Linked DNA regions of Mus musculus. The protein of the gene in region 2 binds, or shares a complex with, the protein of the main gene of each other region. Links are inferred from orthologs where the notes say so. Each region holds a gene or a part of one and is shown on either strand. Other genes may lie near its edges. The genes, in order: Polr2l, Ercc3, Gtf2f2 and Gtf2a1.

Region 1 (7,505 bases), on a different chromosome or scaffold from region 2:
GCAGGTGGGGCCTTTCTGGTTGGATTAGGCACCCTTCATGCCTGCTACCAGGAACTCTCAGATCTGCTTGCCCCAAACAAATGGTGTAAGCTGAGGGAAACTCCAACCCCACACTTGATGCTCTGTCCTCTCCACACAGGCCTCTTGCTCCTAACAGCTCAGCCCTGGCCTTTTCTCACTACTGATAGCATCATGTAAATGCTCCATGTTCCTGTACACTGTCTCCTTTTGGAGCATCTCTGAATGGAGCATGGCTGTTTTCATCTCACTGCTGTATTCCAGATGCTGCCCACAAATGCTCCTGCTATGTAACAGGTGCTCAATAAATGTAAATGTATAAGCACTCGAATCAGCTTGCTGACAGGACCTTATGGTCCAGGGTAGCTGGAGTACTCACAAGAGTCAAGGTTGGTGAAGCCCAATGGCAATTACAGTTAGGGTGAGCACTGGTAGCTGGAACATCCCCCCAGCCCACTGTGGCCTGGACTTGTCCATGCTCAAGGAAGAGTCTGTAGGCCTTGCTAGGGTCAGAGGGCAAGGGAGGCACCAGGGCCTGTTGGGGATGCCCTGGCTCCTGTTTCTCTGGCTTTAGCTCATCTAAGCAGCTGAGAAGAGGTCCTAAGCTGATTTTGTTCCCCACAGTCTTCTGTGCCAGCTGGAGGAGGCCACTATGGGTTCTCTGGACTCTAGCCTAAGGCAAAGCCTTTTTCTTTTTTTTTTTTTTTTAAAGATTTATTTATTAATATATGTAAGTACACTGTTGCTGTCTTCAGACACTCCAGAAGAGGATCTTGTTGCGGATGGTTGTGAGCCACCATGTGGTTGCTGGGATTTGAACTCTGGACCTTTGGAAGAGCAGTTGGGTGCTCTTACCCACTGAGCCATCTCACCAGCCCGCCTTTTTCTTTAAAACAACAAAAAACCAGGGGTGGGGTAGGGTGGGTATGCTATGCCACACACACCTTTAATCCCAGAATCCAAGAGGTAAAGGCAGGCTGACTGTTGTGAGTTTCAAACCAGCCAAAGCTGGTCTCAAAAAACAAAACAAAAAAACCCACCAAAATTCTCAAAGGGATCAATGTGCTAGAAAGAACCCGGGGTACTTGATGCAGATGCCTAGGAGCTAAAGCACTACACCACCTCCTTTGGCCTAGAGTAGGCTTCTTAGGACTACATGCTGTGGGGATTGGGTCAAGGGGCAGGGCTGCCTAGCTGTCGGGCCTGGGAAGATTCTGGAAACAAGATCCTCAGGCATGGGCAGCAGATAGGCTCACACAGCTGATGGGCTTTAGGACCCAAGAAATTCGTGAGGCCTGTGGCCTTGGGCGTACTCCTACAGTATCTGGGTTTGGTTGGGTGGCACAAGCCGTCCTTTAAACTCAACACTCGGGAGGCAGAGACTGATCTCTTTAGTTCAAGGCCAGCCTGGTCTGCAGAGTTGAATTCCAGGATAGTCAAGGCCAAACAGAGAAACCCTGTCTTGGAAAATGAAAGGTAAATAAATCTGGGTTTGATTCCCAATACCTGATGGCAGCTTATACATTCTATAACTTTACTCTCAGGGGATCTGGCCTCTGTGGGGACACAGTGATACAAAGACTTATAAGCAGACCAAATACCCAAATGCATAATAACCCTAGCACAAGGATTGGGACCTCCAAGCACGCTCAGCATTCCAAAGGAATATTGTCACCAGGCTTGGGCCCATCCATACCTGTGGATGGTGTGGTGCCCACATCCATTATGCCCATCCTGAACACAGGCAGGAAGCGGAGAGGCCCTAAAGCAATGTGGTACAAGACTACTGTAGGGCTACCTCGTTGATCAAAGTGGTCAAGGCCCCGGGGAACGGAAGCAGGGTACTCCTCCACAGGACGAGACTCCCAGTCAGATGAAGGGGAAGGAGACCAGCCCTAGGGGAAAGACTGGAGGCAGGCCAGGTAGCCTCAGAGACAGCACAGACATGGACATGGAGCACCTTGGAAGTTAGACCTGTTGGTGGTTCTGCAAACATCTTTACTAAACAGTTCCTTCCAGGGTAACAGGACTTAGCCACAGGGCCACAGCCAGGCAATACACCAACATCCCCAATAGCTCAGTTTGAACATAGCACGACAGGCTGCCCGTGGCCAGCAGGAGACAGAGGAGGGCAGGCTCCAGCGGTCACTTCTCTAGGGGTGCATAGTTCAGCAGCTTCTCAATCAGGTCCACGTGTGCTAGCAGCATGCGGCGGCAGCAGTAGCGCTTTAGGCCCAGAGCGTCCAGGGCATCCCTGTAAAGAGAAGAGTGAGGCTGGATGTGGTCTCTAGAGTCTGGATAGGTTTGGAACCACCTCCAGCTTGCCTCTGGGTATTCGTGTGGATAGGGGTTACCAGAGCACATCTACATAATCAGCGATTGAAACCTGACACCAGGCCATAGGGAAATGGCCTGGAGATTTCTGAAATATGTATCTAGATGCTCAGGGAGGAGCCAGGTGACCCTTTCCCCACCTAGAAGTTACACCTGCTCATGTGCCAGTCTTCTCCCATAGCATCCTGTATCCATCCTTAACAGCCTTCTGCCTACACCTGTTTTTTAAAATTTCGTTTTATGTGTATGGGTGCCTGATGCTCCCAAAGCCCAAAGGAGTTACGGACACTTGCGAGATACCATGTTGCTTCAAGGAACGGAACCTGAGTCCTCTTAAAAAACAATCAAACAACCAAACACACAAAACAGCCAGTGCTCTTAACAGTTGAGCCATCTAGCTGGGTGTGGTGGTGCACACCTTTAATCCCAAGCACTTGGGAGGTAGAGGCAGAGGCAGGTGAATTTCTGAGTTCGAGGCCGGCCTGAGCTACAAAGTGAGTTTCAGGACAGCCAGGGCTACACAGAGAAACCCTGTCTTGAAAAACAAAACAACAACAAAAAAAACAGTTGGGCCATCTCTCTAACCCCCTGTATCTCTGCGTTTGTCTCTTGTACCCAGGGTTATGGGCTTCCAGGGTTATTTGGGAAAGCTTAGGAGACCAATATCCCCTCATCAAGGAGTACAATTCCAGGCCCCACAGGTGGACTCTGACTAAACGCCATGAACTGGTTGTTGCTACCCCACAGGCTTTGAACTCACACTAGATTTAATTTCTCTGGGACCTAGACAGCTTGAGAGGTTCCTGCCCAAGTGAAAGAGGGTCCCAGAAGGCTAGCAGCTACTCATCAGAGCTGATCTAATAGCTGCTCATTAAGCCCCACTGACTTATGGCTTGTGCAGAGAAAGAGAACCCCTTGGTGTTGACATGGTGGCCAGAGGTCTATTTTGGGGGACAGTCATAGTAGTGAGCACAAGACGATGCCCACAAAGCCTGTCCTGCATTTTAAAGGGCCCACGAGGTTCGAAGTACATAAGGGGTAGGTCGGAAAGCAGATAGAGGATAGAGAGTAGGTCGACAGGGAAGAGACTTGAGGTGTCACCCACGGGAAGGATGCTTAGAAGTTTCCCAAAGGCCAGCAACTTGAAGAAAACCACCTTCCAAACTTCTGAGAGCCTGGGCGTGATATTGCACGCCTTTAATCCCAACATCCAGGAGACAGGCAGGATTTCGAAGTGTTTCAGACCAGACTGCTTTACATAGAGAATTCAGGTCAGCCACCGAAATCCTGCCTCGAAAACAAACTAAAGACTCACTCTTCTGGGAATACATCACAGGTCTGGGCTGGAGGACATCCAGTCTTCTCACTAGACCCCACAACCCCTGCCCTGCCAATTCTCCATAGGAAATCTTATCTACCCCCGGCCCAGGACACCTCAATTTCACTCCCGGTCCGCCGCAGAACCCTCCCCATTGCCCCTCGACTTCATGCCCCCAGTCCAGCCTTCCCGTCCTGTCCCATCCCCCGCGGCCCGCCGTCTCACCCCTCCGTGTACTCGGCCTGCAGCAGACCCAGGTAGGCTTCCCATTTGTTGCCGACGATCTTCCCGCAGGTGAAGCAGCGCACCGGGATGATCATGGCGGCGTCTGGCGTGCAGGCTGCCGGCAGTAGCTTTTCAAGGCCCGCCCCAGGCGCGCCCATAGCGCGGGGCTCATTACGCCCTAGCTCCGCCCCGTAAGATCCAGAGCCCCGCCCCGCATCTCCCTGAATCCCGCCGCAGCCCTGCCCCGGCTCCCATGATTACCCTGAAGCGGCGGTGTTCCTTGCTCGTGCCCACCCGGGGCTCCGAGAGCCTCCGAGCCCGCGGCAGCATCCCGGTCCCCCCCCTCCCGCTGTGGTGGTAGATCCCGGCGCTACGGCGTCCGAGCAAGGCCGAAAGGTCCGCGGCCGGCGGTTCGCGTTTCTCGTGTTGCCTTGACTGACAGCTGCTCCGCCGTGCGGCGGCGCGCACAGGTACGGCGGTTCTAGCGGGCTGGGGTCCCGCTGGCCGGATCGCAAGCCGACTGGAGCCAAGAGGTGGTTAACAAGTGGTGGTGGCGCAGCCGGAGAGCGGGCTGCCGACTGTCCACGGCCAAGGCGGTCTTCCCGCCTCCTGGCCCGGACTCCAAGGGGTCTCGGTCTGGAGCCCTTACCCGAGGTGCCCAGGCAGAGTCCGGGCCTTGGAGTTTGGGGCGTCCTTCTCTTCGGCCGCTGCAGAACCGTCGGCGGTACGGTGTCCCGAGCCCCGACGGCGGCCTCCCGCGCTCAGTACAGTCCTCTCCTCTGAGAAGGGTCTTTTCCTGGGGAGAGGAGCAGGGCGGTGGTCCGGGAAGGCGTCATGGAGGAGGCACCCTATGAACAGACCTTCTAACCTCTTTTTCCCGGGATATTTGGCTCAGACGCGGAGATTGCGTGCGAGACTGCTAGTGGCCACAGGTCTGCCTCACCTGGACGTGACTTAAGGACTTAAGGGAATGGGCAAGGAGCTGGTTTCTGGGGAGTGTATCACCTTGGCCGCCTTCTTGTGTGTTGGGAGCTACCCTTAGGAAAACGAGGCAGCTTGCAGTGAGAAGCTGGAGAAGTTCGATAGAGCTTGGGAAGTTTGAGATCTGGTTACAGTGAAGGCTCTGGGGGGTCCTAGACATTTTCCAGGTGCCTCTGGGAAACAAACGATGGAGGGGAGGTCGGGAGGGGTCTCCTGGGTCTTGAGTGTGGCTGGTCGGAGCCACTGGCCAGCTTGGTGGTTGTGCCCCCGATGTCACCCTGGACAGCCTCCCTGGCAGCTTTTGCCATCCCCCATGGAGCCACGTGCAGAGCCACGAGCTAGGCGACTTCCCGGTCCTGTCCCCTCCCCCCAACATCCTGCCCTGGCCAGAGGGGGCAGTGGGGGCCTGTGAGTCACTGTGGCCTGGGATCAGGCTCAAGATCTGGACTGAAGACTGCTGGTGGCCAGAGGTGAGGGTGGCAGGGGAGTGGGATAGGAGATGGTCTGTAGGGTCTGCCCTAGGGGATGGGGTGGAGGCCAAAGGCTTGGAGGAGGGGCTCTCAGTTCGGTCCGGCCCCTGGAAGACTTGTTTACTTAGGGAGAGTTGGGGAGTAGAAGCCTGTGCCAAGTTGACATTCCTGGAATTCCCGTGTGTGTGTGTGTGTGTGTGTGTGTGTGTGTGTGTGTGTGTGTGTGTGCGCGCGCGCGCGCAAGCCCACAGTTTCCAGTGGCTATCGTGGGTGGTGGCATCCTCTCCTCCCCTAGTTCCTGCTCCAGCTCCCTGGATTCCCAGAAATGGCCCAGGCTAGAGGACTCCAGGCTGTTCACCCAGACTTTGCTCATCCTGGAGTGCTGTGTGGGATGGGGGTGGAGTGGGGGGGGATATGCTGTGGGTCAGTTCTCTCCAGAGCCCTGGCAGGGATCCCAGGCTCAGCTTCTGCCCCTACTTCTACCGTTTCTTAACTCCCAGTGGCGGGAGAGAGATGTAGGATACTTACAGTCTCAGCTCTGCTGTTTCCCCACTGCAAACTGACCAGTGTCTGCCTAGCAAATGGATGCTCAATCTACTGTACAGGGTGGAGGGCGCATTGAGCGAGATGTGCTCATACGCAGTTTTTAACCCATTTGCCACAGTTCCTGCCAGAGGAGGGGGTCACTTCAGGGCAGGGGACGAGGAAAACCGATGATTGAAGTGTTAGCTGCCCGGCCCCTCCCACCCTGGGTGTTGCCCTGAAAACAGCCAGCCAAAAGAGGGTGCTGTACTGTGGTCTGGAGCCCTGGGCTCCAGCTGGCTCTACCCCTTGGCCTTAGGTCACAGCCTTAGTTTCCCCATTTGTAAAGCTCTGCTGGGACCTGAAGCATCCGTGGGAAGGATTTTAATTCCTCCACTAAAAGCTGGCCTTGAGCTAGGGGAAGTGGTCGAAAGTGACTTCTCCTGAGGAACTCTATCTAGCCTTGTGCCCTCTGGCTTGCTCATGTAGGACAGTTTATATCACCCTGAGGGTATGGAGTGTGAACATACACACTCCTACACCTCATTTTCAGGGCATATCTGTGTGGACACACTAAATGTGTTTGGTACATGTTGTCCAAATAGCTCTTGGAGACCCTGTGGCTGAAACTGAAGTAACTAGCCCAAGAACCCTTTGGGTTATTGAGGCTGGGACATTTGGGACTCAGTGCTTGAGGGTAGGGGTGGGGTGTCCCCAACATGGCAATGCAGGTGTGCTTTGTTCACAGGATAAGCATTCTGAGTCTCAAGTAGGTCCTTTCTATTCTACTGCCACAGGGGCTCTGACAGAGAAATACCTGAGGGTGCCGGGCAGGAAGTGGGGGGAAGATACTATTTGGGATGACCAGAGAGTCTAGGAAGAAATATGGGCCCTTTTGCTGGCTTCACACAGAGGACCCTGCACCCCCATCCCTATTGAAGTGGAGGGAGGCAAGAGGTGTGTCTTCAGAGCTCCTGGTTAGGCTCTGTGTGCAACCCCTTGGTTGCTTGCTTCTTGGTGGGAGGTGTCAGCCTACTGGACCAGGAATTTGTGGTCTTCCTGCCCAGGGTGGGGGTCTGGGGCAGGCACTGGGGCCCTGCAGGGGCTGAAGCCGCAGCAGGAAGGCAGACACCACAGCCTGTTTGTATTGGCACCACTCTCTCTGCCTCCTCAAAGAAGCTGTGGAGCTTCAGCCCCGGGACAGGGTGGGTGGTGCTGCTCTGTACTCTCTCCCTCCTGAGCTAGCTGGGCTAGGAGTAGCTACTACGGGGTCCAAACAGGCTTCTGGGCAAACTCACGCTGGCGCCACACTGAGGGGTCCAAATGCTTGCTTGCTGACAGCTACTTGCCCCGAGCAAGACATGGTCAAATTCTGTCTAGAAATTGGACAGGTCTGGCTAGGTGGGTGTGTGGCTCATTCCCCAGGGGTTCTTGTTTGTACCCTTATCTTGGAGCCTTGCTGGCAGATGTCTCCTATGTCCAGACCACTGTGGTTGGGCACTGGCCACGGTGTTGAGGAAAGCATCCTTTTCTGGCTCAGAGAGGGTGGCCTTGCCTTGGTCCTTCACTGTTAGAGATCAGTCTGCACACCACACCCTGTGAATTCTGTCCTTGGCAGCAGACATGGACCTGGCCCT
Region 2 (6,838 bases):
CATCCAAAGCCCGGGCCACAGCCCACTGCTGCTTCTGTTCTGCGCAGCATTGCCATTGTAGCATGCCCCTTTGCATGCCTGTGATCAAGTGTCTCATCTGTGGGGAGGCTGCGACAGCTGCACATTCAGACAGGTGGCCTTTGGCCGGCCCAGATGTCAGCAGTCTCTCCCTGGCACCATGAGAAGCCAGGACCCTGTAGACCCCTATCATTTTCTATACAGCATGCTGGGAAAACGGCTGGGAAGACACAGGCTTTAGGAGTTCCTTTGGCAATTGCTTTGTCATCTGGAAAGCTGCTCATACAGTTGCAGGCCCCACATTCTAGGGCTTCTCCTACACAGGAAATGGAATGAAAGAGTGCCAACCCTTCATGACGAGCACTGGTCCTTTGGAGAACACATAAGACGCCAGGCACAAGCACTGTCTGCAGTAAGTGGTGCAGGTCAACGTGACCAGGAGACAAAAGAGGTTCAGAGTAGCAAATTCCTTTCCTAAGGTCACACAGCTGGGAATGTGATCTGTCAGATTCCCCCGTTTTCTCTGCCGCATAGCCCATCACTCTCCTGCATGGTAGTATTGTAAGACCCCAGAAGCTGGGCCTCCGCTCAAATCCCGGGATGAGCTGGCCAGCACCCCAGTGACCTGAGAGAAAACCACACCTGATGCAAACTGCAAGAGGTTTTATTATCAGCTAGCTTGAGGACGAAGTCCCTCCGCTGAGCAGAAGCACATGGCCTGAAGAAACCGCAAGTTCTAAGGGGTCCCATTGATGTGGAAGATGGTAGTGTAGCGGTAGATCTGCTCAGTCTAGGCGCACAGCATGTAATCATATTAACTGTGTTGTGTTTTCACTGCCAGGGCATATTTGGGAGGAGATTTACCGCAACACTCCAACTCAAGAGAGCGGCCGGGGAGATTTATTATAGACGGCGTCCACAGAGAGCTCCCCGATGGAGCAGGGACATGGCTAACCCGAGTCAGGCAGAGGAGAGCAGAGAATGATGTGCGTGAGGCTAACAGGAAAAGGAAAGAAAAGAAACCGGAGTTTCCATGATGTCAGTGAGAGGAATCGATGCTCACATTAACATACAGGAAACCAAAGCAAGGGAAGTCTCCAGGAAAACCAAAATCTATCCATAAAGGAAACTGTAATCACAGACTACTGTAAGGCTGCCTGGACCACAGTGGCACTGTGACTAGTGGTTCTGAATACTGGCTAGTAGCTAACCCACAGCTTGGACTGTCACCCTGTGAGGAGGAGTGGCCAGTGCAAGTGAGAAAGCAAAACCTCAGCTCCCACAGCAGGGAGTTAACAGGCTTTCTACAGTGACAATCCAAAAACTGTCACAAAGCTACCAGCTAAAGAGTAAAAAGTAAACAAAAGCCAGTGGCCCGTTCCAGGGAACCAGGTAGGGAAACAGGTTCAGGGAGCTGTTCACTGTCACAACAGACTACGTCCCTTGGCCCAACCAAGCCTGTTGTCCCTTATGCCGATTCTGTCAGGTGTTTGGTCACTGTAATGAGAAAAGCAAGTACCCCGACACTAGCCTCTCCGCCTCCACCCACTTTCCCTGGGCCATAAGTCTGGCCTCAGCTCCACCCACTCTCACTTAGCCTGAAATGTTGACTGAGTGGCCTTTGCAGTCAGTGCAGGGTGGCCAGGCTCCTCTGGTGTACATCTTCTAGCCTCTGACCCTGCCTCTTTGCTTCTCTGCCTCACAAGTTCCTGGGACGAGGGCAGGGAACAGAGCGCGTTAGATCCCAGGGAGTGTTGGAGAGTGCACAGACAGGCCGTGGCATACTTGACCAGAAGATGAGAAGGCACCACTCACTTGTTCAGCCGAATGGCATATTCCTTCAAGGCAAATACGTTGTCAGCAAAGACAATAATCTTGTCATTCCTCCTTTCATGAAACTTGATCAGAAACTGGCAGGCTCTGAATTTGTTGGGATTCATGGTGTACAACAGGATCCGTTTCTTTGTTTTGATTGCCACATACTCTCGGTAGAACTCGGGAGACATCGGGCACCAAACCTGAGATGCAACAAGAATAGGGAATAGGGATCACGTTACAAAACAAAACATCACAGCATTAAGGACTTTTGATGCTCTTTCATTTAGCAGAATTAGCTTAGGAAAAAAAATCAAGTGTCAGTGTAATGGCTCAACAAGCAGAGGTGCTTCCGTCTGCAAAAGGTCTACTGCCCCGAGTTTGATCCTTGGACTCCACAGGTAGCAAGAGAGAAACAATTCCCAGAGGCTGTCCTCACCCTTCACAGGCACACACAGGAAGAAGGCGAGAGAAGGAAATTAAAGAAACACAAATGTCCTGCTAGGAAAAGAAGACAAACTACCCTTATTACATATAAGGGATCCCATAATTCTACCAGAAAACATCTATGAATAACCAACAACTTCAGCAAAGTGGCAGGATACAGAATCAACTTGCAAAAATCAACAGCTGCTCTGCACACCACCAACATACAGAGAGAGACAGTGGACAGACACACTCCCATTCACCACAGATTCAAAGACAAACAGTACCTAGGGAGAAACCTCACCAGGGAGGTGAAAGACCTACACAAAGAGCGCTTTAGATCACTGAAGGATGAGGTCAAGGAAGACAGTGAAAACGGGAAGACCATCCTGTGCTCATGAGCTGAGAGAATTAATGCTGTAAAAATGGCCATTTCTACCAAAAGCAATGAACAGAGTCAATGTAATCCCAATTAAAATCCCCACAACATTTCTTCAAAAAAGGTAACCTATGTTTCTTTCATATAGAACCAGAAGAGACCCCAGATTACCCCAATAATCCTGAGCAAAAAGAGCAGTGCCGAAGAACTCACCATCCCAGACTTCAAGACACATCACAGCAATAGTAATAAAGATAGCATGGTACTGGCACCGAAGCAGACATGCAGACCAATGTAACAAAACCAAAGAAGAGAAGGCACAACTACAGCCATCTCATATTAGATGAAGATGCCAAAAACATGATGAAGGAAAAATAACATCTTCAATAAACAGCACTAGGGAAATCGATGTCCACATGCAGAAGAATGAAATTAGACCTGCATCCACCACCCTGCACGGAACTTAACTCCAAAAGGACCAAAGGCCTAAGCGTGAAACCTGAAACACAGGCAGCGCACCACAGGACAGTCGGCAAGAAAGGACTTTCCCAATAGGACTCCATTTGCCTAAAACTTAGGTCCAACAATGGACAAGTGGGTCTTCATAAAACTAAAGAGCTTCTGGCAGGCTGAGAAGTCATCAGTGGAGTGAGAAGGAGGACTGCTGAGTGGGAGAGAATTTTTGAAAGCTCTGGTTACTATCCAGAGTTGTATAAAAACCTAAAAAGAGGCCGTTAATTTTAGAGGGAGAAGCATGGAGTAGAGGGATTAGAAGGGTTCAGAGAAAAAGAGGGAAAGAATGATATAATTATATTTTAATTAAAAATAAAATAGTGGCTGGAGAGATGGCTCAGCAGGTAAGACTACTTCCTGCTCTCCCAGAGGTCCTGAGTTTGATCTCCAGCACCCACATGGCAGCTAACCACTGTCTAACTTCAGTCCCAGACTCCAGTGTTCCCTTTTGGCCTCCAAGAGCACTGCATGCATGTGATATACAGACACACATACAGACAGCCACTCATACACACCAAGTAGTTTAAAAATGAAAAATTAATACTCCATATTGAACTGGAACTAACTTAACAATGATTTTTAAATGGTAATAATTTTCATCGAGCTGCTAGAGTGAGAAGCCAGCAACCCCTCCATTTAGGCCACATCACCACACACAGACCAGTATTGTTCCAGTACTCCTCTTCTTGGAGGGCTAGCAGCACATCAGACTCTCCAGGAAGTGCAAAGTCCTCTGCTACCATGTTCCCCTGCATACAGCGTCTATGTTCCCAGGCAGCATCCTGGTGCTAGGAGCTCTCATTCCTCCCTGTTCCCTGAACCCCAATCCCCACCCACAAATTATACTCTAATAAATATGTCTGTAATTTGTTTGTGTGTGTGCAGGAGATGAACCCAGAGTCTCTCTTACACATGCTAGGTAAGAGTTTTTGTCACTAAACAAGTAACAAAACACTTACAAAAAATACTTTAAGTATAAGATTAAATATTATAATTATTATAATGTAAATAAAATAATATCTGTCAATATTAAAGTTTTCTATTGCTATGTATCAAACTGGGGATTATCATATGAAAGATTCAATGGGATCTTTGAATAATTTAAAGGAATGAACTACAGCTACATGCATGATCAAGAAAATTCTGCAGGGCTAGCAGGATGGCCCAGTGGGTAGGGTGATTGACAGGTATAACACAAGTTCCATACCAGTGACTACCCTACGGGGCAGAAGAGGAAAGAAGGGAAGTGCTGTCAAGCAATGAGCAGCAACACTGCGCTGCTAACAGACACACTCATCTCAACCAACGACCACTTTCCAGAGGTCACCCCACTCTAGCTACTGAGTGGCAGTCATTTTAAAGCACTAAGATGAACTGTTCTGTCTTTCTTTCAGACTTATCTTTGACTGTCGATTTTAACACATACCTGTACAGGCATCCACTAAACAACAGTATTAGAAAAATGTGTTCTAAGAAATAACACCATAAAGACCAATTTCTTCTGGGACTTTGGCACTGGAATAGCCTGAGTGGTTGCCCTGAGAGGTTACAGCAGCAATCCTTCAGGGTGAGGGCGGGCAGCAGGGAGTCATGGTCTGTATGAGCTTGCTGCCTTAACCACATGACAGAGGCAGAGAATTCCAGTGCGGTCTGCTATGAAGTGTGGCTCACCTACCAGGGTGACTACTGCACTACGCCACGGTCGCTTAGACTGGGTCCTGACCTGCTGGTCTGCCCAGTTTATCAGAAGATCCCTTCTGTTCCCACGGGAGTTGCCCTTACTTCACATCCCACCCAGGGAGCAAATACCTCAGCACACTGGACTTTAGCGATGTACCCATTGTTCTGCAGCTCCATCCAGTTGGCTTCATAGAGCTTGGGCCCAATCAGGAAATTTAAGTCAACAATTTTGTCATCTTCCCGGACAAGGGTTGCAGTCAAACCAAGCTTACAGTGCGCCTGCACAATAGTCAGAACCCGCCGGAACATCCTGGCTGCAAGAAGACAAGAAATGTTCGCATCATCACCTTCTACACTGAGAAGGGGCCACGCAGCCCGCAACTTGGCACTGGTCTGCAGTACCATATGGTAGCCTTGCTACTAGAGAGCTGAAATCTGGTTCCAGAGAAGAACAAGGCAAGAATATTTCACCATGGCTTTTAGACCTGTTCAAAAGACAGAAAGAATAAAGGACAAATGACCTCAGGGAGTTCCAAGCTCACAAATACCAGCACTTGTCAACATGTCAAGAGTCCAGGCACCAGGAGCAAATATGACTTGATTCCAAGCCACACAAATCACTCAGGCTGAAGCCTATGCACAGGTCACAGCTAAGGAAGCTGGGATGAGGGGACAGAGAGCCCAGCTCTGCTCTGCTCTGCTCTGCTCTGCTTCCTACCATCGCCACTCAAAGCGGAGAGCAAAGAGCCCGTGGCAATGACAAAGCTCAGCCTCCAGTCTGCCTAAGCATGCTGTGTACCTGTTCCCCTCCTAAAGTCACCAGTTAAACAGGCATGGTGGCACAGGCCTTTAATCTCAGCACTCTGGAAGCAGAAGCAGGGAAGACAGCTCAGGGCAAGCCTGCTCTATAGTTAGTGCCAGTTCAGCCAGGACTACGGAGTGAGACCCCTGTCATTACTTTCTTTCATCAAGAGCCACCTTTCATTTTCTTCCTTTGCTGATTGTTATAATTCCTGATTATCAAATAAACACATAGACGAGATACAACCTTTGAAAACTCTTGTGTGGGCATGTAATGTGTGTGCTTGTGTGTGTGAACGTAGGCACCCGCATGCTCAGCATCGGCCCTCACCATGTTTGGGGCAGGGTCCTTTGTAGGTGCACGGCTGCACAGGCCAGGTTACATGAGCAGCAGCATGCAGGCTTATGCTGTCTTCCCCACCTTCCCACAGGAGTGCTAAGGTAACAGATGGCACCCTAGCAAGCCAGCTTATGTGTGGCCTCGGGACTTGAACTGGTCCCCCAACTGTAGGTTTGCCACAGCTTTAGAGATCTGCAACACTTTGGAAGGTTAGCAGGCTTTGAGTTGGGGGACTAGTGTGATGGCTCAGCAGGCAAAGATACCTGCTGCCAAGCCTGATGACCTCAATTCAAAGTCTGCCATCCATGCGGTCCAAGAGAACCAACTCCTGCTGACCTCCACACTCCTGACACGGCATGCACATGCCCTCCCTGAAAATAAGGAAATATAAAAGCTTCAAGCATTCTGGAGACAGCCAGCTCCATGCCCACCCTGCAGGGAGCTCTACTGCTCTACTTCTCAGTAACACCTGGCTTGCCTGCCTTTCCAAATGTGGGAGAAAGGTCTGAGGCATGGAGCTGTGGGTGCAGCTCAGTGGAAGAACACACACTTCACATGCATGAAACCCTGGCTTCAGTTTTCACCACCCCTCTCTCACACACATGAGTCATGCTTATCTTAGAATTAAAGATGAGGCCAGTGATACGTCAAAAAGAAACCCAATGAGAAGATGAAAGTCCAGAATATTCCAAAAGACAAATCAAACACCAGAGCCATAGAATAACAGGGCAGTCACACTCTGAGTAAATGGCTAATTTTAAATTTCACACACACTGATGCTTAACAACTTAGAAAACTTACAACATCTGCAAATACAACAATAACTATACCAAACACAAAACAAGGTACAAGCAAATGAAAAGTTA
Region 3 (7,607 bases), on a different chromosome or scaffold from region 2:
CTGGCTCAAAACTACTCTCCCAGCTGACTGATTCAATCTGGCTTTTCTCTTGGCCTCTAATTGATCTGTTTTGCTTCAAAATATCTCTAGAAATCTTTTCTAATCTTCTGGCTCCTTCTCATTCTCTTGCTTGTTGTGTCTTTACCTGTGTCCAGCCTGTTCTCTCTTCAATCTGTCTCTGTAAAAACTCTCCTGGTAACACTGCCTCCTTCTCCCTCTCTCTGCTCCACTCTCCCTCCCGACTCTACTTACTGCTCTCACGAGCTCCACTGTATCCTGTACTGTACTCTCTTCTTCCTGAGCTGCCTGTCTCTCCCTGAAGTAGCTTCCCTCTCCTCTCTCTCCCTGTGAGAGTTGGCTATATCCTATTCTGTCAGACCATTCTCTGACTCATCACCTTGTCTGCCACCCATTTAGACATCACTTCCAAGCATGGCTACTTCCTCCACCAAATTAACTTTACCTTCATTGTTTGAGATTAAAGGTGAATCTAAGGGTTTGCCTGTATTCCAGCCAGAGGGATTACAGGTGCATACTAAGGGCTGAGCCACACCACAACTAGAAACAGGTTCAAATATCCTGTAACAGTGGTCTATGAGGAGATATCTTATCTAAACCATTATATCTCTGAGCCATTATAGCCATGAGCTTTGTTAAGTTGGACGGTTTACCTGTGTATGTTCAATGTAAATACTTTATCTTTAAAGCCATTCCTGGGGTGTGCCAGGCTCCTTTGTGTTCTTCTCACATATACTTGAACCAAGACTAAAGCACTTCTCATAGGCTCACCTTTTAACACTTTAGGCCTGTTTCCAAGCTGTTATAAGAGAATGCAACTTTTCTTTCCAATGAGTGCCTGGTCTTTTCCATCACATTAGTTTTGCCAGCAGATCTCAGAGACCTGACAGTTTTCCCAGCCCTTATGCTGCACAGATATAGACTCTCTGCAGTTTTGTGCATAGCTCTGGTGTGTGATTCAATAAATTACTTGCCATTCTTCCAATACCTTACTGCTTGTTTCTCTTCAGCAAATGTTCATTCAACCAAAGCCTACTGACATCCCACAGTATGTCAAACACTGTGCTGGGTGCTGTGCATATAAAATGAATAAAACACTATTTTGTATTTGTCCATTCTGCTTCAGCAAATCTGGGGCAAAAACAGTACTTTTGTCTAGGAGTTCAGTCAGTAGTGTAGAAAACAAAGATAAACACGCCTCTCATGGTACAGCGTTAAGCATCACACACTATCATATGGGGAAACAGAACTTTATCTAGGGGGACTCTCTTTTCTGTGTGGTCTTTATTTCATTTCCACTTGTCTGTGTTTATAAGTAGAAGTTTGCCAAAGGACAGGGCCAGTGTAAAGATCAGGGAAAGCAGGGCATCTAAGGCACAGGAATTGGTTTGAAAGAGGCTCTGAAATGGTAAGAGGAAGGTCCTGGAGTCTTCAAGCAGGTGGATGGGCTTGGTGTGGAATCCTGTGTGGAACAGAGAGTATAGGAAGGATCAAACCCAAAGGACTCAGTTGAAGCACAGGGTAGAATTTCATTCCAAAGGCAAGTGGGGGAGGAAATTACCAAATGAAGACTCAGGAGCTAGAAGCTGCGGTGAAAGCCTGCTAACTCTGAGAGGCAGAAAAAGTACTCAGCTGACCTTCCCACTCCACCGACTTCTCAGAAGGAAAAGCCCCTTCTCCTTCATGCACTCTTAAATACCCTTCACCTCAAACTCTCTCCTTTCTCTTGCTCATGTTCACTCTCTTGTCAGCTGGCTACTTGCTCTGCCGCCTGATCTAGGGTTGACTTTATTTAGCTCTTGGATTAATGTGCGCGCTAGGTAGGGGTGAGCCAGGCTACCTATACTTGTTTACAGTAAACAGAAAGTTCTAGGATCAAAGGCTGAGCCACAGTTATTAACAGATTCTTCCAGTTCACAATCTCAGGGCTCATAATGTGATCCAATATCCTGCAACCGGAAACTGTTTAAGCAGGGCAGTTGGATAATCAGATCTGTTTCTTACATGGTGGGTCTTACCAACTCAATTAGATGGCATTCAGGTTTCGGCGTCTGAAAGAGTGTATGCTGCTTGCACGGTGTGAATTGATTTTTATGCCTCGAAAAGGCATGTGTCCAGCATACTCACTTGTACTCTAGTGCCCACTTGTGCCAATGTTAATTGGGCCAAGAAAGTGACTTTTTTTACCCCCAAGTCTGTCCTTAAAATGCCTAGCTTCTTTATCTAGGGTTGGGTATAAATACACACAGCTTTTGTCTGTCTAAACCTTAATCTTTCCACTTTGTCACCTTTGCTGTAAACGCACGGTTCAGGATTAGGCTCTTCCTTTCCCAGCACTCGAATCCCAAGATTGCACGTTGCCGGGAGTCACGCCCATCTAGGAAATTGCCGGAGCAGGAAGTTTGTCCCTCTCGGCGCGCTGTCCTGACGTAGTCGTGCGCAGGCGCAGTTCTTCATTCGGCGGCGTGTTCTTCTCATCTAAGTTCCTGGTTCCCGGGCTGTGTGCGACGCCGGCTTTTCGCGGTCTACTTACTCCCTTGGCCGGCTCTGGACTGTCGCTCTCTGCCTTTCAGCGCCGGGACCACTGCTTGTGCGCGCACTGCACGCCTCCTCACGCGACAAGCTCATGGCGGAGCGCGGGGAACTCGATCTGACGGGCGCCAAACAGAACACCGGCGTGTGGCTGGTCAAGGTGAGTGAGACGCGAGCCCCGCGGGGCGCTTCCGAAAGTTCTGGGTCCGTCTTGCTCGGGCCACCGCTGTTCTGAGAAGCGGGTCGCTGTTGCGTCCGTTTGCAGGTTGGAGAAGTTACTTTAGGGGACACAGGGCGTCTTTCAGGCCGTCTCTCAATTTCATCCGCCCACCATGGAACTAACTCTCTTTACCGCCAAGACCTGGCCTTCCTGGAGTCCTGACCCGGTGGTCCCCGAGTGGGCAGTACATTTACCCCAGGTCGGAAAAGTCCTTGCGGTTTTCTTTTTGGTAAGGTTAACTTTAGTTATGAACGTGTATAAATTACTTGAATAGATATTCCGTACAGTTTTCTGGACCACAAAGTGGAGCTGGTCCCTGTGTACTCTGTTGTTTTGAAACAATCTCTCTGTGTAGACTTGGCTAGCCTGGAACTCGCCATGTAGACTCCTGTCGCTTTACACGGCTAGTGTTGCCTGGGTTGGTAATTCAATTGGAGCCTTCGAAAGACCTAGAAGTTCTGAATTCAAAGAGAAGTTGTTGACTTCGTGTTTTTAAAGAGCGAGTTTAGGATTCATGAAACCAACCAGCAGTAAATGTTTTAAGTGGTCATGCGGCAGACCTCGTTTGCCCCAGTGGTCGCCATCTATTCGGGTCACTTTTTTTTATATGGGGTGGGAGGCTCTGTGGGGAATCTCATTCTGAAAAACCATATTTAAATGGGATCATGAAAGTTTCCCAAACTTGTTTTTTAAATGGTTTATCTTTGTAATGAGTGTTTTAAGTCCATGGCTGAGTTCTCATCAAGACAAAGTGTTTCTTCCTGTCCTTTTCTCTGAAACAGCTCTCGTCGTTTGCCAGCACAGCAGACTATGTTAAGTTCTTCAAACCCCTGAACAGTTTCTAGTGCTCCTTTGTACCTGTCTGTATCTATTGTTGATGCCCCTACCCCCAAGTCACTTTCTTTGCACTTTGATTAGTGTTTGGCACATATTACTTTTCCAATATGTGATGAATATAAGAAATTGAAAAGGCACACGCCTTTAATTCCAGCACTCGGGAGGGAGAGGCAGGTGAGTGAGTTCCAGGACAGCCAGAGCTATACAGAGAAACCCTGTCTCGAAAAACCAAAAAGAAAAAGAAAAGGCTGTATGTCAAAGAGACACAAACTAAAGTGGGTAGGAGTTAGTCCTGTCAGTTTCATCGGCGGGCGATTAATGAAACACACCTCTGGGTGTTTCTGGTGCTGTTTCTGGAGGCAAAGTAGGTCACAGGGCTATGATCTAATTAAGGGATTAGTTACTCTGTTGGTGGATTTATAATGTGACTTCTCTGGGAGGTAGTGAAAGGTAGTGGGGCGGGGCCTAGTTGGAAGAAGTAGATTCTGGCTGTATGTTCTTAGGGCTGCCCTGGCCCTCTCTGTATCTCCTCTATATCATGGCCACTGTGGAGTGAGCTGCAGCACTTTTCCTTGTTTTTCCCACCATGACAGATAGAAACTGAGATACCCAGTGCAAAATAAATCTTAAATTGTTTCTGTCAGATATTTGGTCACAGTGACTAAGTCTGACTAAAACAGAGAATACAGCAAAGGGTTATAAGTAACAGGAAAAACGAAAACCTATTCTCTCCTTTCCTTTCCCTTCCCTTCTCTCCCTCTCTCTTCATCTCTCCCTCTCTCTCTCTACCTTTCTTAGTTCAGGCTGGCCTGGAAGTCTCTGTGTAGCCCAGGCTGGCCATAAACTCATGGTAATTCTCCCACCTAGGTGTGTGTTAGAGCACCTGTGCTTGAGTATTTATGTTAGATAAATACACAGATATATATCTTAGATAAAGGAGAGCTACCAAATAGACAGGACTGTGGTGTGCACACCTTTAATCTTAGTACTTGAGAAGTTAGCCTGGTCTACATTGAGTCAGGGGAATGTTGTAAGACCCAGAAACCAGAAGAGGGCATTGGATCCTCTGGTATTACAGGTATGGCTGGTTATGAGCTGCCATGTGGGTACTGGGAATTGAACCCAGGTCCTCTGGAAGAACAGTCAGTGCTTTAAAGCTGAACCATCTTTCCAGCCCTTATCAGACTTAAATAGCAAAACCATTAAAAAGTCCATATGGTATTTTGAGATACATTGTCCACAGTCTCACCTAGCTTTATTTCTGAGTTGTATCACTAGCCTTAGATTCGGTTTTCATATCTGTAGACAAGGGAGAGTACTTTGAAGAGTGATTGAGGGGATGAGTGGGTGGAGGGGATAGAAAGTCTACAAGGAGTCTGACAGAATTGTCTCCTCAACCTTCCTCTTTTCCAGCCTCAGGCCTATCACCTGACACACTTTGGTAGTCTACTAAGTTAATATCATGAACATACAATCAGCCTTTTTTACTCCTTTTTTAAAAAAACTTTAACTGTAATCAAAGTACTGTACCCCCCCCATAATCTTGCTAGACTTCCTTGTCTCCCCTTTGCAGCCCCAACACCTATGTCTCAGTCTGAATTCATTGTGATCACATTGTTATTCCAAGATTACTACGAGAACTAATGCTGACAACTGACAGTCAGTGAATACTTATTCTCCACAACACATATGCTTCGTGTTTTATTAAAGTCTCTTCTTTGCTTCTCATAACAGGATAGCTGAAAGGTCTAAACTACTTATGTGAAGAACAGAGGCAGATTATTTATTAGAGAATTAATATATTTTTCCATCTTAGAATTTAACCTCCGGTTACTTCTGTTTTTCTGTTTCTGGTTTTAGACATAGTATTTTTATGGTTAAGAACAAAATCCCTTGAGATGGCTTGGCCTTGAATCGTGCTCTGTCATTTACTAATTGTATAACCCCGGGGAAGGTATTTGATCTCTGGGTACAGCATCTGTGAAATGTTTTGCTTTATTTTAGGTTCCTAAATATTTGTCCCAGCAATGGGCAAAAGCCTCTGGAAGAGGTGAAGTTGGGAAACTGAGGATTGCCAAGTAAGTTATTTATATATTTATATAAATATACTATGTACACACATATAGTTAGTATATATGTATAGCACATAAACTATACATTTTTTAAAGCTGTTTTTAAAAATGTTTATAATGGCTTTTGAATGTGATTACATTCTTAGAGAATTTACTTAGAAGGTGAGAGTTATTGGGCATGTTAAAGCAGGTTATGGGATATCTATATATTCTGTGAGGAGACAGGCTTGTGCATGTGTGATAAGTAGTGTGACTATAAAGCTAAATTTATTGGGGAAGCTTACTGGTAGTGAAGGAGCAGATGATACGGTTTCCCCATCCTTCTATCTGTTCGTGGTGTGCAGAGGTGTGCTTGGGTTAGGTGTGCATACCTAGAAAGTACTTTTTTAAAAATTTTATTTATTTATTTTATGTACATGAGTACACTGTAGCTGTACAGATGGTTGTGAGCCATCATGTGGTTGCTGGGAATTGAATTCAGGACCTCTGCTCGCTCCATCCCGAAGATTTATTTATTATTATATGTAAGTACACTGTAGTTGTCCTCAGACACAGCAGAAGAGGGCGTCAGGTCTCATTACATTTGGTTGTGAGCCACCATATGGTTGCTGGGAATTGAACCTCAGAACCTCTGGAAGAGCAGTTAGTGCTCTTAACTGCTGGGCCATCTCTCCAGCCCTAGAAAGTACTTTGATGGATGGACTTTGCCATTGTCGTTCCTGGTTAAAGGGCTATGGAAGGACATAGGGAGCGTCTAGTGTGCCTGAGACTTTGTGTTCTATGAGAGAGATTGAACCCAGATTCTCCATGTTCTCACGGGGCGGCTTCTTTATCCCGTATCCAGTCACTTCATTTGTTTGTTTGTTTAGTTTAGTTTTTTTTTCAAGTCTATGTAGCTCTAGGTGTCCTGGTACTTGCTCTGTATGTAGGTCAGGGTGGCCCTGAACTCAGAGATCTGCATGCCTCTGCCTCCTGAGTGCTGGGATTAAAGGCGTGCGCCACCATGCCTGACTTCATCCATTCACTTAAAAAAGATTATTTTATACATACGAGGTTTTTGCTGGTATGTATATCTATGCACTAACTGTTTGCCTGGTACTTGAAGAGACCAGAAGAAGGCATCTGATCTCTTGGAACTGGAGTTATAGACAGTAGTTAAGCACTGTGAGGATGCTGGAAATTGAACCCAGGTCGTCTGGAAGAGCAGCTAGTACTCTTGACTGTTAGACTGTCTTCCCAGCCCTTGTCTAGCTACTTTTAATCCAACTCCACTGAGATTCTCAAGCCTAGTACTTCATTGAAATAGCTGTCATCTGTTACTAATGTCCCCACCTTTATCAATTAGTTTTTGTTTCATAACAAAACTTAAAAATTTTTAGTCACTTAGAACAAAAAATATTTTATTTGTTCAGAATTTTCTGGATTTTTTTTTCTGGTCAGGGCTGAGCTGGAAGGCCTTCTTGACTGGCCTGGCCTTGTTAAACATTGAGTGGCTTGGTATCAGCTGGGCAGGAGTCATCTGTTTCATCTCCAGCATATTCTTTCATATGGTGGTGAGAGTTCACAGTTGCAAAAGAGGGCCTACAAGTACAAGGGTACTTCTGTCTGTTCGCTAAAGTCTTATTGGCCAAAACCAAATTCAAGGGCTAGAAACAGATTTCAACACCAATTTTCTTTTTCCCTGTAAAAATTTTTATTACACATCTTATATAGCAGCTGTCTTGATTGACCCGCATCAGACTTGACAAGGCCGTAAAACTGGTATCCCATCCCATCAGGACAGCACTCTGCTGCCCTCTTCCTTCATTGTCTCCTATGGACCTTTTGCTAGGCTCCTGGATGCCCCATCTCAGCATCTTAGTTTACATGATCCCTCCTCTCAGTCATCAGTTCTTGTCTCTTTTCACTTTTTTTTTTAAAGTGGCCTC
Region 4 (6,838 bases), on a different chromosome or scaffold from region 2:
GGCCCCACTCTAGTCCAGGCTGGCCTCAACTGGTAATCCTCCTGTCTCTGCCTCCTGAGGGAAGGATTACACAGTACCCTATGACAGCCCCAGTGAGACTGAGTTTTGACTGCAATCACTTCATTTAGTTCATCTGAAGATTTTTTTTAATTCTTGCTTGCCCCAAAAGATTCCTATCACTGTTAGCTTAATTTTGTACTTTTACATATTTTTATGCATCTCACTGTAACTTTATTTATGTAGCTTTTATTCCATTATGTTTAGATAGTCCTTAATATACACAACCATTAATTATTGTTTAATTTATAAAGTTTTAGGAAACTAACATTTAGATTGAGTTTAAGGAAATGAGTCTATGCTTTAGAGAAGCTAATGAGAAAGCAGTGAAAATGACCTTTGTGCAGTTCAGGGGCAGGCGAGATGGCTCGGGGGTTAGGAGCGTTTACTGCCCTAGCAGAGAATCAGATTCTTTCTATTTATTCCCAGCACCCACATGGCAGCCCACAACCATCTTCACCACCAAGTCCACCCTCTTTTGTGCCCTACAGGCACCAGGCAGGCATATGATATACAAGTATACACACAGGCAAGCAGTCAGACACATAGGAAAAAAATATGTATAAACAATACAAATAAATGAAAATAAAAACTGGAGTTGCTAGTATATGAAGCTGCAAAACTGGCAGTACACAGGAGGAAGTCATGTGACTAACAGGTGACCTGCTTCTTAGATGCTTACACATCACAGCTGTAAACTCTTACAGATCCCAGATGCCACTCAGAAAGTCAAAGTGTTTGTAGAAATATTTTCACTAAAAACCAAAAAACTCATTGCTAGCAATACTTACACAGACCAAGAGACAATTTCAGAAATGATTTTGTCCTCAGTAATAATTTTGGTTGATTTTAAAAATAAAATGCCACATCTGACCTTACAATATTTATAGTCTACATAGTTTAAGAAAATAAGTCATTGGTGGTAAAGTATTAAGTAAGTGGTCAGACTCTGTTTTCCTGCTTCTTTTATAACATTATCGATCTGGCGACACATCCTAAGAGCCTGAAGGGCTTCCTTCAGTTCACAGTTAAGCACTGTGATGTATCTGATGGGAGATTACGAGCCTTAAGTATGAGACGTTTAAGAATGGGATATTCAGTATGCCTGTCCACCTGAAATGGAACAGAATTCTTCTTATAAGCAACTGCATAAAATACACCTTAAGGTATAAATCTAAAGATCACAATAAGGCAAACTATGTGTTATGCTTAAGTCACAACAAAAACTCTTAACATACGACTTCAGCAGTAGCATCCTTGAGTTGGGCACGCTGGCACATGCCTTTAATCCCAGGATTTGGCAGGAAGATCACTGTAAGTTTGAGGCTAGCCTGGTCTGAAACCCTGTCTCAAAAAAAAAAAAAAAAAAAAAAAAAAAAAAAAGCAAAACAAAACAAGGAAATAGCCTCCTTGACCACATACTCAAATGTACATGGTTAGCACAACTAGATTTAATGGTTTAAAAAGAAACAGAAGGTACAAGCTTGAGTGGGTGGGTAGAAAAGAAGGGGTGCATCTAGGAAGAGTTGGGTTAGAGGTGAATATGATTAAAATACATCACATACCATTCTCAAATAACTAATAAAATTAAATTTTTAAAAAAGAAATAGTTGTCTTAAGCTCTCACCTTTCTTACTCTCATCTCTAGCTCTGTTTCTCCTTCCCTTCCTCCCTTCTCTCCACGTGGCCATAGCCAGCCTCTCTTTCTTTTACCTTCTCTCCTTCTCTCTTTCTACAATAAAGCTCTAAAACCATAAAAAAAAAAAGAAAAAGAAAGAAAGAAATACCTATCTTGAATTGTCCAAAACAGTTCATTTTCAACAAATTTATAAACGTAGCCTTCCTGTACTTACATTTAACTGACCTCCTGACATACAAGTACCAGTGTCAGCTATGAACTATCTTGGTATTTTTTAAGAAAATTACATAGTTTTATAAACTTTAAAGATTTAATTTGTCATTAACAGCTATTTGCACAAATCTTCCATAATCCTCAAGTTGTTAAATAATACACATAGGAATAACTGCAATTTTAGATTAACTAAAGCCAGTTCATGCCGTGTTCAAGTCTTACCGTAATACTTGATGCATTCATATGTTGTAGCAACTTAGAATCAGGAACAATAACTTGTGGTGCTGTAGCTACAAAAATAGAAAAAAAAAGGCCCATTTACAACAAGAATACTTCAGAGCTGCAGGAATGTTATAAATGCCAAAACCTTTTTTACCTTTTTCATGCTTTTGTTGCATTTTCTACTTTAAAATACTTTCAAACTATATGCTATTTTAGACTTTCTAAATTTTTTTCCTATGGAAATCAACAGCTCGAATATATTTATTTTATATTGAAAAACATTAATAAAATTACAATACCTTAGCTAGGCATTGCAGTGCATGCTTTTAACTCCAGCATTCAGGAAACAGAGGCAGAAAGATCTGAGTTCAAGGCCAACCTGGTCTATATAGTAGGACAGTGTCTAAAAACAACAAACAAACAAAAAACCCTACAACATCCTTTTCTAGCAACTTGACAGCTACCATGATCATGGCATTTTAATTAACTATTTGAAGAATACAAATCAATGGATTAAAAATGCTTGTTCTATACAAGCCGGAGGCCCTGAGTTAGAATCTGCAGACCACACATAAAAGCCAGCTACGTAGCATGAGCACTCTTAATACCACTGCTCTATGAGGTGGGGAGAGGAGTCAGGCAGGAGAGCTCTAAGCTTGAAGACAGCTAGCCTAGTGTATATAGAGGAAAACAACAGAGATCCTGTCTCAGAGTGGAAAGCAAGGATCAACACCTGAACTTGTCTTCTGACTTCCATGCATGCACCATGGTCCATGAGCATCTACACCTGCATGTGTGCACACAAACATCACACTCAAGAAAGAAACAACAGCAATGTTAGTTAAAAGAAAAAACAAAAAAAAGTAATGTTTGACCCCGCAAATTTCAGAGAACACATAGATAAACCCAATATCTTGATATTCTCTGAGTGAAAAAAGTCAATTTTAATTTATGATGACTTAAAATCCTAGTGCCATGCCTATAGGCAACAGGAGGAACAGCCATCAAAGATGAAATGAAAAGCAGGTCTGAAGAGTGGGGAAATGGCTCAGTGGGCAAGGGCATTTGCCACCAAGCCTAAAGACCTGAGTGCCATCCTTAGAGCCCTCGTGGCAGAAGCAGAGAGCAGACTCCTGCAAGTTGTCCTGACTGCCACATGGATACCATGGGCCACCACATTCCACACACACACACACACACACACACACACACACGAAATGAAGTTAAAGAATCCCTAAAAGGGACACTCCAAATCTATCAGCTATAACTGGTAAACCCAGTCACACCGCCTTCTGCTACATCTGACTACTCACCGTGCATTTCATACTCTCTCAGATGAAGCAAACCAGTCACCCAACAGCTGCCACCTTAAACTAAGCTTTCAGTTACCTCAAGTTTCCTTTCTAGTCAAATTCATCTAACTACAGTATTCAGAAAATGTTATAACTCAATAGATTTTTGTCATATTAAAATAACTATGTATGATGGATCGAGATCCTTCTTTGTTTTGGAGTTTTTTGAGACAAGTTTTCTCCATGTAACCCTGGCTGTCCTGGAAATTACTCTGTAAACCAGGCTGGCCTTGAAATCAGAGATCTGCCTGCCTCTGCCTCCTGAGTGCAGGATTTAAAGCTATGGCAAGATTCTCAATCTTTCCAGGGCCCAGATTTCCTTCAACTGTGAAATTGAGCTAATAAGCTATTCTGCAACACGTCAATAAAGGTTAATGCAACAGGACCTATAACATGATTTGAATATTGTAAACTATGACAGAGTCTGTAATGAGTTTTTCTTTCTTTAAATCAAGCATTAAAAAGTTAATTAAGGGCTGGTGAGCTGGCTCAGTGGGTAAGAGCAGTGACTGCTCTTCTGAAGGTCCTGAGCTCAAATCCCAGCAACCACATGGTGGCTCACAACCACCTGTAATGAGATCTGAAGCCCTCTTCTGGTGCGTCTGAAGACAGCTACAGTGCACTTACACATAATAATAAATCTTTAAAAAAAAAAGTTTAATTAAATTTTCAGACTACCAAAGTTACAAAATTTCTCCAGTATTGAAGATGCATGAACAAAACAAACATGTCTTTGAAAGAACATGTTTCATAAAGAAAACTACCTTATATTAAATAATGAATTCATTCAAAAGTAAGTCTGTATAGGTAGGGGACCCCCATTTTCTTTTATCTTACATAATATCTATAAAGTGTGTAGTATGGATCCTTGCCTTCAACCTATGTGACACAAGGTTTCTTTGTAGTGTTTCTGGCATATATAACAGCTTAGCTGGCCCATAACCAGACTTCTGGGAATCTGTCTCTACTCCCTATCTCCCCACAGGGATACAGAACTCCTCCTGGCTTTACGCTCTTGGGACTCTATGTCTCTCTACCTGGTCCCTAGCTCAGCTCATTCACATATTATAGCTCCCCTCCCAGGGATGCTCTTCATAACTTCTGCCTTTGTTATTTTCTTTTGCTATTTTTGAGGTAAGGTCTCATGTAGCCCAGGCTGGCTTCCAACTCACTCACTAGATAACTAACAGAAGATAACCTTAAATATCTGATCCTGCCTTTTCCTAAATGCTAGGATTACAGACACGCTCCACAATGCCCAGTTTATGGGGTGGTGGGGATTGAACCCAGGGCTCAGGTGTGCTAGGCAAGCACTCTACCAGTCAGAGAAGAAAAAGAGTAATCAGTATAGATCTCCAGACCCCAGCATCTGTTTAAAAAGATGATGGATCCATCAAACTTAAAAGTCAAATTAGGGCTGGAGAGATGACTCAGCAGTTAAGAGCACAGACTGCTCTTCCAGAGGTCCTGCGTTCAATTGCAGTCAACCACATGGTGGCTCACAGCCATCTGTAATGGGATCTAATGCCCTCTTCTGGTGTGTCTGAAGAGAGCAATGGTGTACTCATATACATTAAATAAATAAATAAAACTTAAAAGTCAAAGGAATACTTTCAAAAGACAAGTGTAACTTGTAAGGCACAACAGGGACCTCCAGCCTTCTCACCTTGCTGGGATGCAGGAATGAGGACCTGCTGGGTCTGTGCTTGCTGAGGTACCGTTTGCTGAGGTTGCGCTTGCTGGTGCTGGTGGTGGTGGTGGTGATGCTGCTGCTGCTGGGGTTGATGCTGCTGCTGAACTTGCAACAAAAGCTGCTGTTCTTCTGAATGAAATCCATCTACTGCCCTAGACTGCATTAGTTTATTCTCCCACAACTAAGACGAAGAACAGTAAAGCTTCTCAGTGACTTAAAGAAAACTCTGGTCATATAGACAAAATATTAAGTTATTAGGTGTTTGTAAATTTCTTCCAGAAATAATACAATCACACACACACACACAAATATCACCCAAGTTTTATACAAGGAAAATAAACCTTGATCAAATCACATGTTTATTTTACTTAAATTTTTTTTTTTACATTCCAAGAAACTTTCTAGAGTAATTCTTCAGTTAGCAGGTATTATTTAACAGGGTTCCCAGAGTCAATCCCTGAATAATCACAGCTTATCTTTTTATTTCAAAATTATTAAACTGCTTTTATGGAACTTTGCTCAATACAAATTTTCTATCTCTTCAATAGGAGTCAAAAAGAGAAATATTCATCCATCTGTCCTCAGTGAGAATTTTGTGAAATACAGGCACTCTAAATTAAATAGGCCAGCTTCCTTTCCATTTGTCTAACCTTGTAAGTTAAAGAAAATGAGGCTGAAACGGTCATCCCGATGCTCTACACCTCTTGGAACGCCCGTTCTTCTAATGCGAAGACTGACAATCACTTTCTGCTTAGCCACTTCTATAAGCTGAACATATCTAACCTAAAAACTCAAACTCTGCGTGCGATATTCTACCTTTTTGACTCCTAAAAGGATCTCACCATGGGAAAATTCTACCTGGTGAAATTTTGTTTTATGCACAAAACCATTAAAATAGCGTGTCAATTAATTCCTAGCCATGTATAAAAGGTGTATGTGAAACATAAGAGAACTTCAAAGTCTGAAAACTATGTAAAAAGGTAACACTCCTGGGTGGTGAGACCTTTCGGATTAGGGCTGCCTATCTGTCTTTCTCACCTCAGCACAGGGTAAGCTCTATAATGGGAGAGGGGGGAGAGCCATCCAAAAGAGAGGAAAACATTTTCAACTATTTCACTCTTCCCATAACATATTTGCTTTCTCCTATGTTTAGTGTTTAATTTTGAGTTTCACTCCTATAAGAAATTATCCAAGAAAGTCAAAGTGTGCCTCTAAACTGCAAAGAAAGCAAGCATTCTGTTCTTAAGTCCAGGGTCTGCTCCTGAGAGATTGCTAACGCAGAGGTTTCTTCTGGATTCTTTCAGAGGCGCCTCTTGTTACACAGACTCAAAACAAAGCAAAAACCCCTCACCCTGCCCTCTCTGCGTGACCTATAGTTATGACTACCTGCTACAACAACTCCAGCGTCTTTTAGTAGTGGTCTGAAAAATGGAGTAAAAGTCAGGTTCAGAGTAGAAGTACTTCCCTACAAGCCCAATACTTCAATGCCTGAAATCTATACTTAAAAAAATACTAACCTCTGTTCATGGTTACCACAGTTTAAAGTCAGTGATCACTGAATGCCAGCTGTTATTACTAATCCAGTAGTAGCTTTAATTATGTAACAGCATTACATCAGAGGCTGGAAAACCAGTTAATACTGGGTTATCTACTAATGTGACT

The links.
Region 1: Ercc3 (region 2) and Polr2l share a complex: the UniProt entries of both Homo sapiens proteins name them as parts of the TBP-based Pol II pre-initiation complex. The link is inferred for Mus musculus from reciprocal best matches to the Homo sapiens genes ERCC3 and POLR2L.
Region 3: Ercc3 (region 2) and Gtf2f2 share a complex: the UniProt entries of both Homo sapiens proteins name them as parts of the TBP-based Pol II pre-initiation complex. The link is inferred for Mus musculus from reciprocal best matches to the Homo sapiens genes ERCC3 and GTF2F2.
Region 4: Ercc3 (region 2) and Gtf2a1 share a complex: the UniProt entries of both Homo sapiens proteins name them as parts of the TBP-based Pol II pre-initiation complex. The link is inferred for Mus musculus from reciprocal best matches to the Homo sapiens genes ERCC3 and GTF2A1.

The regions. Positions count from the first base shown.
Region 1 is NC_000073.6:141,471,133-141,478,637, forward strand, and holds Polr2l (DNA-directed RNA polymerases I, II, and III subunit RPABC5), read right to left. Parts: upstream 4,022-7,505; 5' UTR 3,991-4,021; coding exon 3,896-3,990; intron 2,273-3,895; coding exon 2,164-2,272; 3' UTR 728-2,163; downstream 1-727. UniProt on the Homo sapiens protein: DNA-dependent RNA polymerase catalyzes the transcription of DNA into RNA using the four ribonucleoside triphosphates as substrates.
Region 2 is NC_000084.6:32,252,388-32,259,225, reverse strand, and holds part of Ercc3 (general transcription and DNA repair factor IIH helicase subunit XPB), read right to left. Parts: intron 5,146-6,838; coding exon 4,961-5,145; intron 2,037-4,960; coding exon 1,834-2,036; intron 1-1,833. UniProt on the Homo sapiens protein: ATP-dependent 3'-5' DNA helicase/translocase. Binds dsDNA rather than ssDNA, unzipping it in a translocase rather than classical helicase activity. Component of the general transcription and DNA repair factor IIH (TFIIH) core complex.
Region 3 is NC_000080.6:76,005,783-76,013,389, reverse strand, and holds the start of Gtf2f2 (general transcription factor IIF subunit 2), read left to right. Parts: upstream 1-2,524; 5' UTR 2,525-2,644; coding exon 2,645-2,710; intron 2,711-5,611; coding exon 5,612-5,685; intron 5,686-7,607. UniProt on the Homo sapiens protein: TFIIF is a general transcription initiation factor that binds to RNA polymerase II and helps to recruit it to the initiation complex in collaboration with TFIIB.
Region 4 is NC_000078.6:91,570,435-91,577,272, forward strand, and holds part of Gtf2a1 (transcription initiation factor IIA subunit 1), read right to left. Parts: intron 5,358-6,838; coding exon 5,150-5,357; intron 3,139-5,149; exon of another isoform or gene 2,996-3,138; intron 2,200-2,995; coding exon 2,132-2,199; intron 1-2,131. UniProt on the Homo sapiens protein: TFIIA is a component of the transcription machinery of RNA polymerase II and plays an important role in transcriptional activation. TFIIA in a complex with TBP mediates transcriptional activity.